Linked DNA regions of Drosophila melanogaster. The protein of the gene in region 2 interacts with the protein of the main gene of each other region in a pairwise test. Each region holds a gene or a part of one and is shown on either strand. Other genes may lie near its edges. The genes, in order: Unr, BORCS5 and CG3224.

Region 1 (4,842 bases), on a different chromosome or scaffold from region 2:
TGTCTTTTCTTGAGGGCATTCCCCGCAAAAAATGTGGTTGTTTTACTTAGCTTTCCTTTGCTGTTGTTGGTTTGTTTGTTTGTTGGTTTTTTGTGTTCCTTGTTGTTTTGTGTTTTTATATTTCTTGTAAAAAATGCCGACAAATATTGTAACGTTGTTGGTTTGTTTTGGTAGTTTGAAGTTCCTTCCTGGGTCTGTTGTAGGTTGTATTTCTTTTTAAAGTTGTTGTTCTTGAAATATTTTTTTTGTTTGTTTTGTGTATTCAAAATATTGTGGTTTTACGATGAAAATGCACACCAGCTCTGCTGCCGTTGGTGTTTTTATTTTTGTTCGAGTTTTGAATTATTATTGAATTATTGCATTTTGTTTGAAATGAATTTGGTTGATTTTTTTTTATATTTTTACTTTAGTTTTACTAGAAAAATACACTGGGAATACTTTTTACTTTTGGGTTAGATTAGCTTTGTTTGATATTTGAATATTTTGTGTGTTTTGCTTGATTATATTGGTTTCTATTTAGTATACATATATATAATATATATTTTGTAGGCAATCGTTGTGGTTTATAGGAAGTAGTAGTGATTTTTTATTTACTTTCGAATACCTTTAGTACAACGATGATTTTTGGGGGACGAGGTTTAAATCTCCTTCTTCCTCTTCTCGGGACTTCCGTTTCCGGTTCCTCGCTCACTCTCTCTCTGTATCTTTCTTTCTTTCTGTGTCGATTTCCTATTTTGTTTCGCTGTACGTTGCTATTACTTTTCGGTTGCACGATTTGTATAATTTGTTTTTTCTTTTTTGTTGTTTTGTTGCTGTTTTATTGCTGTTTCATTTACTATTCACTAAGCAAAAATTATGAGTTTTAATGTTTTTTTGTTTTTGTTTTTATATATGTATATAATAGATATAGGACACCCGTTATGTAAAGTTATCCTCGCTCATTTACTATGTTGAACTTTAAGTCTACGATTTATTTTGTTTTGTTTAAATATATATATTTTTTGAATGCGTTTTGAAGTCTTTTCATAACCTAGGGTTTTTATTTTTTGCTTTGTGTTGGTTGGTTTTGTTGTTTATTCACTTATTCCATTGTTTTGTTTTTGTTTTCTCGGTTGACGCTCACTAGATTTAAGCTTAGTTTAATAGTTTATATAATATAATATATAATATACTATAGTATATATGTATCGAAGTCCTTTAAGATATCACGAATTTGTTTCAATGTTTTTTATCTTTTCATTTGCATTTGCTCTTAAGTGTAAAGTTGTTGTTGGTTTAAGATGTTTTTCTGCTTTCTGCTTCCTCTTTCGCTCCTTCTTCTTCTTCGCCTACTGTTAAAAATGACGGGGTTTTCCTTTCATTTAATTAGAGATTTTTTTGTGGTTTTTCTTTAGGTTTTTGTTTTTTTTTTTTCTTTAAATTTATAAATTTACAGTAATTATCACAGAGTTGTTAAATCTTTCTTTGAATTTGTTTTGTTTTTCTTTTCTCCGTTTTACTTCCGTTTGTTGCAGTTGCTTTTGCTGTTTTAGACTTTTAACATTTCTCACTAGGTACACTTATAAAAAAATCTGAATTGAAAACTAGTAAAAAACAATGTTTTATTGGAAAAAATAAAAACTGTTTTTTTGGCACAAGGCCGCAGTTTTGAATTTGTTATGCGTTCTCTATATATATTGGCTTAATCCGTTTATTTTTTTTTCACTAATTTATTGTTTTAATTAAATTTATTGGCTAAGTTCAATTGCTGGTGTTGTTGTTGTAGGTCTGTGTAAAACGTGACTTAAAACTTATAGAATTCTTGTAGATTTTTGGTTTTAAATGTTTTCTTTATTGTTACCGTTATTTTTTTAGTATATATTTTTTATTCACACTTTTTTTGCGGCACAATTGTTGCTTGATCGGTTTTATTCAGCTCTCCTCGCTTCTCCTCCATTTATCGCTCTGTCTCCCACTTCCCTTTCGCCCTTGTGGGCGTTTATCAGTTGTTTTTGGACTTAAATTCTAGCAGTGTTTGTTTTTATGTTTAGTTAAATAATTTAGATTGATGTTGCGTTTTAAATTAAATCGTTTTTAATATGTTTAAATTATTTGTTGTTGATTTACTCCCGGTTATTTTGTACTTTAAAACATTAATTCAGTTGTTTGTTGGTTGTTGTTTGTTTGTTGTTGTTGCTGCTTTTGTAGCTCGGTTGTTGATGTCTTAATTTAAATTAATTAGCAAATTGAATTCACTCTGACTTAACAACAAAAAATTCGTAATTAAATTAAAGCTTTTCAGGAAAAATAATGAGGAATTTGGGATTTATTTAGCGTTTTTCCAAGTGTAGGTTTTGCGGTTTTGCTTGAATTGTTTTTGTTTTATTCGAGAGTCCGAACGCCGCAGCGCCGTTGCCTTTGACTTCACGTTAGTTTCGTTTCCCGTTGCTTTTTTGTTTTCAGTGCTTTTGCCGTTTTCTTGTTAAACTCCGCTTTACTTGCTCCTTCGTGGTTTGCCTTTTATTTTGTTTTAGCTTTTCTTTTTGTTTATTTATTTGTTGGTGCTTTTGAGTATTGACGAGTTAATTTCACAGCGTTTCAATTTGTTTGGTTTGTTGTTGGTTTTGTTGTTGTTTTATTTGAAAGTCTTCGTTTCAAGCTTGGCTTGTTTTTTATGTTGTTTGTTGTTTTGTTTTCTTTTTTTATTTGCGCAGTCGCTTTATCTCCCTCTCTGTCTGTCTCGCTCACACCGACGGGCGGCGTAAAAATTCTCGTTTTTTCTGTTTTGTGTGTTTTTCTTTGCAAAGCAAACGAAACAAAAACAAAGAAGAGTCCAAAAAACTTAAAAAGTTTTTGCTTTGACTTTTTCCTTTTGAGCTATGTTGTTGTTGTTTTTTATTTCTGCTGTAACTTTCAATTATTTGCGATTTATATTTGTATGTATTATTTTTTGATTCGTTTTCGATGGTGATTTTTTTATTTTTTTATCATATTTGTTGTTGTTTTTTTATATTATTATTATTTTTTCAGATTATGATGAAAGTGATGTCAAAACGGAGTTTTAGTTACAAAAGCTGTTGAATGAGAAAAAGAGAAAGGTGGAAACGATTAAGAAAAATTAATACATCTTTTTTATTATTTCTTTTATTTTTGGCTAGTGAAATCTACACCGAAAGTCTTGCTGCAGTTTTATCGATTTTTCAGTGTTGCAAATGGAGAGATTTTTGCCTGCCGGAAAAAATTGCACACACACTGGCGCAACCTACTACGCACACACACATGCACGCCCATACACACGCACACGCAATTGCAATCGTAAACTATTTTTACACATTATTGTTGTGGTTTTTAGCGTAAAATTAGCAACCCCGCAGACTGCACACACACATGCACAGTCACCGAAGTGCCAAGTTGGTAGCAAAAAAACGAATTTTCATCAACTTTTTTTTCGGGCTGCAAATTTGGTACCCTCAAACGCACACACACACACACAGAAGCGTAGAAAATCTGGCTGGGCAACGAAAAAACGTTAATTCGCCATTTAAAAACTAATTTCCCTAACACATTTCATATTTTTCCATCACAGCTTTGTTCGCGGCACATTTTCTGCATATTTTCGTTCCGAATTTGAGTTAAATAATAGTCCTATTTGAAGCGAACGAGAATTTTCTGGACCAGCCACACGTACCACACGACAGCACAACAACTGCTAGCGGGCGCCATATTTGCCGACAGCACGATGGCAGTGTTGGAAGGTGTGCGAAGAGAGGGACAATTGTGACGTCAGTGGTCATGGGAGTAGGAGCAGGGATCTCTTAGCTTTTCTATTCCTATATTTAAATAATCAAAACTTATCTAAGATAACGATTTAACTTTAATTCAGTTAAAGGGACTATCTTTAATGCAATGTCTAAAAGTAGTAGAAGTGCAGGGTTATACATCTATGTCATTTTCTATGCTATCACTGCAAATTATAAAATATGAATTGTATGTGACTTTTATGTAATATTCTTAGTTTTAATAATAAACAAAAGCAATTTATGTAATTAAATGGATTATTACTAAGAAAATTACATCTAAATATTTAATTTTAAACTGTACGTATTCGAGACAAGAACCATCGCTAGCTATTTCTAACTTAAGCCAACCCCAAAATCTTTTCGCCTTTTATTAAGCGGCAATATATTGATTTAAAAAATGAAACTAGTTTTATTTGTTCTGATAAATAAATATGGAAGATATGTTATTATCTTTGTAAAATTGGAATTCCCCCAAAAATGCAGAAGTGTATTCACTTAGTTTAATTCTTAATTTTCGGAAGTTCTGTCACATAAAACATAAAACACAAAAAATCCCTTTTTTAGATTCCTTTTAGCAGCCCACAGAAAATCACATTAGTTTTACGTCTTCCTGGGTCTTTTAACGAATTTTATTTCAGCAGCTCCTTGGTTGCTTAATCCATAATTAACTTAAATGGTATTTTGCATGATAATGGGATCCAATACATATGTATGCTGATAAATTGATTATCCTTGAACAGATTTTTAAAGATTACAATTTACAAAATCTAGTTAATTGGTTACGGTGCCTTTTATACATTCGACAGTGCAAAATGTTATCAACATGAATAGATTATCAAAACGCCCTCGCTAAATATAAATCTCGGGCTAATTGTAGTTAAAAAGATTTAATATCATGTTTATAATTTTTACGTTACGAGCACTTCGATTTGGTCACACATTAAATTGCATCTGGTTTTGCATATTTTAGGGTTATTTAATTGCCTGGATTGCGTTACATTTCTATACACATTTGCAAAAGGTCCAAAGTTTGGTCTCTGTGTTGTTCTAGGGATATATTTCA
Region 2 (4,026 bases):
CGCCGCTGAGCACGAGCAGCGTTTGGAATCCGCACTGGCGTCCAAAGCTAACGTCCTGGGCCAACATATCTCCGATCATGAGCACCCGACTGGGCTGAACGATTTGGTAATGCTCGACAAGCAGATCACCCAACTCGCGGCCAGGCTTGCCCAACGTAATCGGCTGCTTGCCACTGGCCTCCACGAGGATGGAGGCGAAGGCTCCCGGACCTACGATGTTCACTTCCTTGGCCACCGGTAGCAGGCGATCGGTGGCGCCTTCAATGAGCATACACTCCGGATGGCGCAGGTACAGGTGGGCGCGCAGAATCTTCGGGGAAGTCAGATTGAAGTCCACGTCGATGATGACGGCGCGCACGGGCTCCTTGCCAAAGATGTGCTCGGCCAGGCTGGCGTAGCTCTCCTCGATGAACTCGTTGGGCTACAGGCAGAGTTGGTATATCAAATATAGTTTAACTATGCATAGATAGGTTATTGGATTGTTCAAATTCAGGAGCACTGAAAACCAGCACCACTCTTCACCCAACTTATTTACCACTCACCCCGTCCAGGAGCTGGAATCCCGCCTCGCGCAACACCGTCTTGAACGACTGGCTGGCGATGATGTAGATGAGTCCCTCGAACTTGATGCTCTGCAGATAGCTAACGATGGACTTGGCCGGATGCCAAATCTGCTCCGGGTGCACCTGCATCCCGATCTTGGCGAAGAGTTTGACGCACTGCTCGGACGTGCGAACGCTGTTGTTGGTCAGGAAGGTCAGATGCTTGCCCATCTGCTCGAGAGCGGCATATCCGTCGGCGGCACGCGGAATGCTCTGCTCAAAGGTCCACAGGACGCCATCGATGTCGCTGACCACCCGGTCGAAAGAGTCGACAACGCTGCTCCGCTGCTCCTGGCTTAGCTGCAAAATGTGCTGGGGTTTGGCCTAAGGTTGTAATTGAAAATTCAAATTTAATTCAATAATTAAACTCAAAAAACTAGTAATGGATTTTTTTTAAAAACTATATAATTCTTAACAAGTTCGGCGCTTTGTACAAAAAATGAAATTTATCTATAGCACTTTTTAAAACTTCTAGCATTAAAAGAAAAATTCCATTTTTGGTGACAAAACATCTTTAGCGTTGTAATTCGTGACCTAGACCAACATTAGTTAAACTTTTGTATAAAATATAGGAAAATTGTAAATGGCAGTCCCAGAAAATAATAATAATAGTATATGCGTAGACTTAAAAAACAAATAGGCAGGGGGATCGATGGTGCACCTCGATAAGATTATTCCAGCAAAGCCCTGTTCCCTGCTCACCATTGCAATCCGTTCTGGTGAGTGAAAGTGTTGCTATCGCGATCACGGTCGTCAGCCAACTGACTTTGCTGAATATTGCTCGAGCTGAAATCGAAACCAAAACCAAAACCAAAACAGAATCTATATCCCATGCTGAGAATTAGCACCTCAAACGGCAGAACGACGACGACGGCCACCAAAACACTGGTGAACTTATACGGAAGCATTGGAAGAGAGGGCTCTCCACTTATCGCCTGGTCTTATCTGAACCCCAACGACATCCCCCTACTTATACAGTCCAAGTGGAGCTCGATTTCAAAACAATAGACAACGAAATTAGAAGAGCTTGCAAACAAAAGTTATAGTGTTTATATTTAAAATTATCAACAGAAAGTCTAGGAAATGATAGGAAATTAAAAGTTATAAGCTATGGCTTCAAATTTAAACTCCATGTCTAGATCTTAAAACCAAAGAATTAGTATTTCTGTATTTAAAATACCTAACCGAAGCTTTCAATATACAACTATTTAATATGAACATTTTGTAATAATTTCAATATCACTAGCTTATAGTTTTATGATTTATTTAGTAAAGTTTCACTTTTATTATATTCGTTTTTTTTTTTTTTTAAGAAAAGCCGAATTTCAATGAATATGTAAACCCCCCTACTATTTGAAAGCTGACATCAAGCGTGCAGTGGAAACAGCTCGTTATCTGTACTTTAATACCGAAAAACGCACTAGCGCATTTCAGCTGGCAGCTGGGAAATTTTTAGGTCCTGAATGAGACTTTGTTGCGATTCGATTTGAGGCTTTGGCATCGATTTGTTTTGAGGTGTAAATCGACTGGCTTGGGCCACTGGAAATGAAGCAGCAGGTGGGCCCAGGACAGCAACAGTGACAGCGCCAGCTAACCACAAAATTCGGGCCAGGAGTACGCGGAACTTGGAGTCGGAATCGACAGGAATCGGATCGATAAATGGGCGCCGAGCATTCGCAGCAGCGGGCTGAGGCCGATGGCCACGAGATCTTCGACGGACGCCAGCCACCAGGAGCGGGCACTGGATCCCTCGGCGATGGCAGCTCCATGATGCTGGCGGCCACGGCGGCGGCCAACAAACGACGCGGAGTTGGTCATCGCCAGCAGACGACAGGAGGAGCAGGCGGAACAGTGGTGGGCCCGGGAGCTGGAGTGGGCCCAGCTAGCATTGTGATAGCTAGCAAGCAGATCATCGCCGAGGCCGCTTCGCCCGGCGGCTCCGAACTGAGCAGACCGCCTTCGCCGCCGCTTAGCGTCTGCTCCGACCTGCCATATGTGTCCTATACAGATCGGCCAATCGGTGATTCGCCCAAGATACGCAGCAAGCCGGCGCATATGCTCCAGCAGAGCAGCGCCAGCCGTGCGGCGGCCAGGAAGTCACATCCGAGTGGACTCACCAGCGCCGTGAAACCGAAGCGACCACAGTCCACGGCCTCTAGTCATAATATAGTGATTGTGCGTCCCGGTGCCATCGATGCTGGCGAGGATGTGGACATGGACTTGGCACGATTGCGCAATATACCGCAGTTTCTGCCCGTGCTCCGTGAATCCATCACGTCGGCGACCAATACACGAGATGCAGAGATTCTGGAGCGACTAAACTCGCAGCATTTGATCAACATATGTACCCGCATGCAAACACATCTTAATCTGTGCGCCAGCTATGTGGCCAGCGAACAGAATCACCTCGTGGAACGTACCAAGGTGGTGAGCAACTCGATCACCACCCTCTTTGCCGGATTCGTGGACATGCAGAAGACGTACGCCTCGTACGCCGAGCAATTCGCCAAGATTCGGAGCATATCGCATCAGCTGAGCAGATGCAACTCGCTGCTGCACGAGAACATAGCCAGTCTGGAGGCGATCAATAACTTCCTGGACGACGAGGACCGCCTGGAGCCCTTCGTCTGGCGCACCGACGACAACAAGCTGCGCGGCGAGGCTGAGGGCGCCATCGGAGGCAACAGCAGTCGCCTGTGGCGGCTGTAGGATCCCCACACACTTATTGGTCTCCAAAGATTTTCCTAGCTCATAATAATCGTGTATTTATTGTGTATATTACTCGTTAACGATGCCGCTTAATCGTGATTTTTAATTAGTAAATCAAACCTAATATTAAACTCAATTTGATATTTTATTTCTCGAAATGCAAATAGTATTTTTCTATATTATCACGAAAAAATAATTCTTTATCATTGGAGTGAGGCTAGTTTTGCAAATGCGATAATTTTCTTTCGGTCAGCCAACCAACCACAATAGATATCTCACCACAGTATTATCGTTTGAAACTCATATAAAGGAAGAAACCAATTTGCTTACGACCTTATTTGTCCATTTAAAGGTTTGGATATTTATTTTATACACTGTATTCTCTCTTATGCAAATGCATATTATTACGTATGCTTGCCGCATATATGTATACAAACAATAAAGTCTTCAACTACAATTAACAATTAGACAGCGGTCAAAAGCACATTTATTACTTCTTACACAATTTGTCTAGATTTAGAGTAGATTCTAGCTACGAGTAAATATCGCATATAGGGATATACAATACAATACAAACATACATATACGACTATGGACAACAAATGTGAAACATTTGATTACTATTTTTGGTAACGCTACGCAAACAACATTTTTCATTCCATATACACACGATTACAATTCCACACAAGCATCTGGATGGTACATTTACATTATA
Region 3 (3,324 bases), 5.2 Mb from region 2:
TGATAATTAAACAGCAGAAAACTAACGCACTGGGACCAAACCGGTTGGACCTATTCACCTCTATCACTCTCGCTTTTATTCGCCTGCATTAGTAGCTTTGCCTTTACACAGAGAGAAAAGCATTTGTTACTCTTATCATGAAATAAACCATTATCACTAAATATTGTTTAAGATTTGTATATTTTCTAGTTCTATTTTGGGCAAGTAATAATGAATAATCTGCGTTTACCAGTAATATTTCTATTATGCTAAATGCTAAGACTCAGCGAAATAGCTAAGATATTTTGATATAAGTTTGAAAATGGAATTTCACGACGTGATGAAGTGTGATTCATTATTCATATTATATTAAAGAATTAAAATAAGAATTGAATTAAAATTTAATTTAGTTCCAAATATCAAGTGAAATTTAAACGATCTAGCAACGTAAACTTTTTTCTTTCTGTTTATTTGCATGGACAAATGGCATTAACCGTTGCTTCATCTCATCAGCTGATCTCCGCCAAGAGAGCCCCATCCTCTGCTCCTGCACACACACACACACTCACAATCGCACCAATTGCGAAATGTCAAATCGTGACCGACATGTATTGCAGCAACAAATGGGAGAGAAACGGCGAGAGTGCGTGTGTTTTTTTTCTATTGCAGGCCGGGGGAGCTATTATATCACATGTGTAAAGAAAAGAGAGTAGGAGAGAGTTTGTTGATCTGAATTCGAACATACATATATCACTCAACGCACGAACACAGATAGAGGGTTAATTGTGCTTGTAACGGTATAATTGACTGATAAGCGATTGGCACTGATAATCACAATCGGTATGCAATCGCTGATTATCGATAAGGACTCCTAAGCTTTGTTTTTAGTTTCGTTTATACTATTTCACGCATTTCGCGTTCTTTTTGTTGTTGTTGTACTTACTGCAATTGGCGGGCAATTGGCTCGAGTTGTAACAATCTACAATGTATGTATGTATGTATGCTGTAACACCGGTTTAAGTGACGAACTCAACGGAATGTCTAGCTAAAAACAGAGAGTCAACGAAAAATGCCAATAAGCCAACAGTCGTACATTTTAAACAATGCATGCAGCTGCCGTTGACACCCACCCAACCCCCTGCACCAGTCATTTAACAACAATCACAGTTTCTGATTTTATTTTGTGCTTCGTTGTTGCTTTTTGCGCTAAATCACACACGCACACACACTCACTGCAAACGCTGAGCTTTTGAAGCAAGCGAGATAGCAAGAGTGGACCGGCTGCAGCATCTTATGAAAAATAATAATTGCTTTAATCGTTTTTGCAAGTGTAAAACCCGATCTATTTCACAGTGTTGTTATCCAATCACACATGTGTGTGTGCGTCCAGCCCACACACCCACTATTTGTATTATCAATTGCACTTTATCAACGCAAGTTAAACCGAACTCTATGTTTATGTATTCAAATGTTAGGGGCTTACTTTACTTCCTGCGGCAAGGAAATAAATAATATTAAAACAAAATGCGCACGGTCCGCCCGCAGACAACTTGTTCGCACGATTGTTGATGAATTAATTGCAAGCATATGTTTTTTTATTTAACAGTGCGCTGCCTACGAAAAGGCACTAAATAATGCCAAAAAATAGTATTGTAAAAGACGAAGTAGATGGAGTGCAGCTTAAAAATGAGTAACTTATACAACTTATTGTCGCAACAAGTAGCTAATTTATGGAATTTTAGTTTAATTAGTTTTGGTTGAATTTAGTTTTATTTCGAATAAATAAAAACAGCTGTGTATCAGTGTGCACACACCACGATTTCTTCAGTTATCGATAAGAAACCAATCGGCCGGGGACCGTCGCCAACATTCTATGTGCGCATTAAATTAACTTGTTACCTTTAAAACCCTCGTTTCTTAACCAAAAAAAGGTAAAGTTAAGCAACAAATTACTGTAACAGTATATAAATTAACATTCAAATGCATTACAGGTTTTAGGAAACACCTAGCAGCAGCAGCAGAATCTAAAACCCCATTGGCAACCAAAACACGTGCCAAAACAAACGATTAAATTTTCCGTAAAAGTTGTAAATATAAAAAAAAGTCAGCAAGATGGGAATGGTATCGAAACGCAAGAAGATGCACTATGGCGATACCCATCTGCAGAGGAGATGGCGTGTGCGGAATCGACGTCGTGATCTCGACCAGATCGACGACGATCTGCAGACCCGGAGCGGTGAACTGATCAATCAGAATGTGGATCTCGACAAGCCGGGATTCGCGCAGTTCTACTGCGTGCACTGTGCCAAGTACTTCATCGATGACACCGCCATGCAGGCACATTTCCGCACCAAGGTGCACAAGAGGCGTCTCAAGGCCCTAGAGATCGAGCCGTACAGCATCGAGGAGGCGGAACGCGCCGCGGGACGTGGCAGCTTCGTGAAGCCCAAGAAGCGGGCGATGGAAACGCAGCCATCGAAGGAGGACGTGGTCGCTGGCAAGAGGATCCGAGTGGAAGTGGTGCCCGAGGATACAGATGCCACCGATTCGCCATCGACGTCCAAAACGAAGCGCAAGAAAGTCGAGAAAATGGAGACATAGGCGAGGAGGATGAACCAATCTATTGATCTAGCTTAGTTTTTAAGGCCCTCGGGGACAGGACTTTCTTCACCCCCCTCCCACAGAACTCTGTTTACCTCCAATTGCTTTCTTTAAATACATTTTTTTTCCAACATATATAAATCGATTCAAAATTAATTTTCATTTAATGCGCGCAAGGGTGGCGAAAGATCAACAAGCTTCTAAACAACAAGCAGTTCAACGCTTCCAAGCGGCAAAGCTTTATTTACCGTTCTTTTGATTTCTCTCCTGCAGCTCAAAAGTTCAAGTTCTCTCCGCAAGCGGTCACTTTCTTCGTCCGTGAGCAGCGGTAAACACAAAATGCGATGGCTGACGCGCTTTAAAATTAAAATTAAATAAATATCAGCGTCGTTTGCTGTCGAAAAGTGCTACAAAGTGTAATTAACCAGTGAGCGCAGGTCGACGCAATGCGTTTGATACGGTATTTCTAGTTTAAACGGGTGAAATTGGTAAATTTCTGCAATTTCCTCATTCTCCTTTGGGCTCATTCTCCGTTGGCGCGTGTGTGGGTGTGTTGGTGCGTGTTCAACTGGCATTCTCATGTGCACTTAAGAGTATGCTACGTTTTAGAGCGGTGATCTTGTGCATTTTGCCATCGCGAGTGTTTTGTTGTGAAATGGCTCATCAAAATGTGAGAGTATTTGTGTTTTTTTTTATATTTTTTTTTAGGTGATTTGTGCTCAATAAATGTGAAATTAAATAATG

Evidence for each region.
Region 1: the proteins of BORCS5 (region 2) and Unr interact in a two-hybrid assay, tested with the Drosophila melanogaster proteins (one large-scale study listed by BioGRID).
Region 3: the proteins of BORCS5 (region 2) and CG3224 interact in a two-hybrid assay, tested with the Drosophila melanogaster proteins (one large-scale study listed by BioGRID).

What each region holds. Positions count from the first base shown.
Region 1 is NT_037436.4:8,438,666-8,443,507, forward strand, and holds the start of Unr (upstream of N-ras), read right to left. Parts: upstream 3,043-4,842; 5' UTR 1-3,042. UniProt on the Drosophila melanogaster protein: RNA-binding protein that acts as a regulator of dosage compensation in both males and females.
Region 2 is NC_004354.4:11,870,782-11,874,807, reverse strand, and holds BORCS5 (BLOC-1 related complex subunit 5), read left to right. Parts: upstream 1-2,028; 5' UTR 2,029-2,261; coding exon 2,262-3,311; 3' UTR 3,312-3,509; downstream 3,510-4,026. Other genes in the region: CG15739 (uncharacterized protein), read right to left, coding at 1-421, 543-926, 1,305-1,307.
Region 3 is NC_004354.4:6,659,940-6,663,263, reverse strand, and holds CG3224 (uncharacterized protein), read left to right. Parts: upstream 1-1,801; 5' UTR 1,802-1,910; intron 1,911-1,970; 5' UTR 1,971-2,091; coding exon 2,092-2,580; 3' UTR 2,581-2,712; downstream 2,713-3,324. UniProt on the Drosophila melanogaster protein: Involved in pre-60S ribosomal particles maturation by promoting the nuclear export of the 60S ribosome.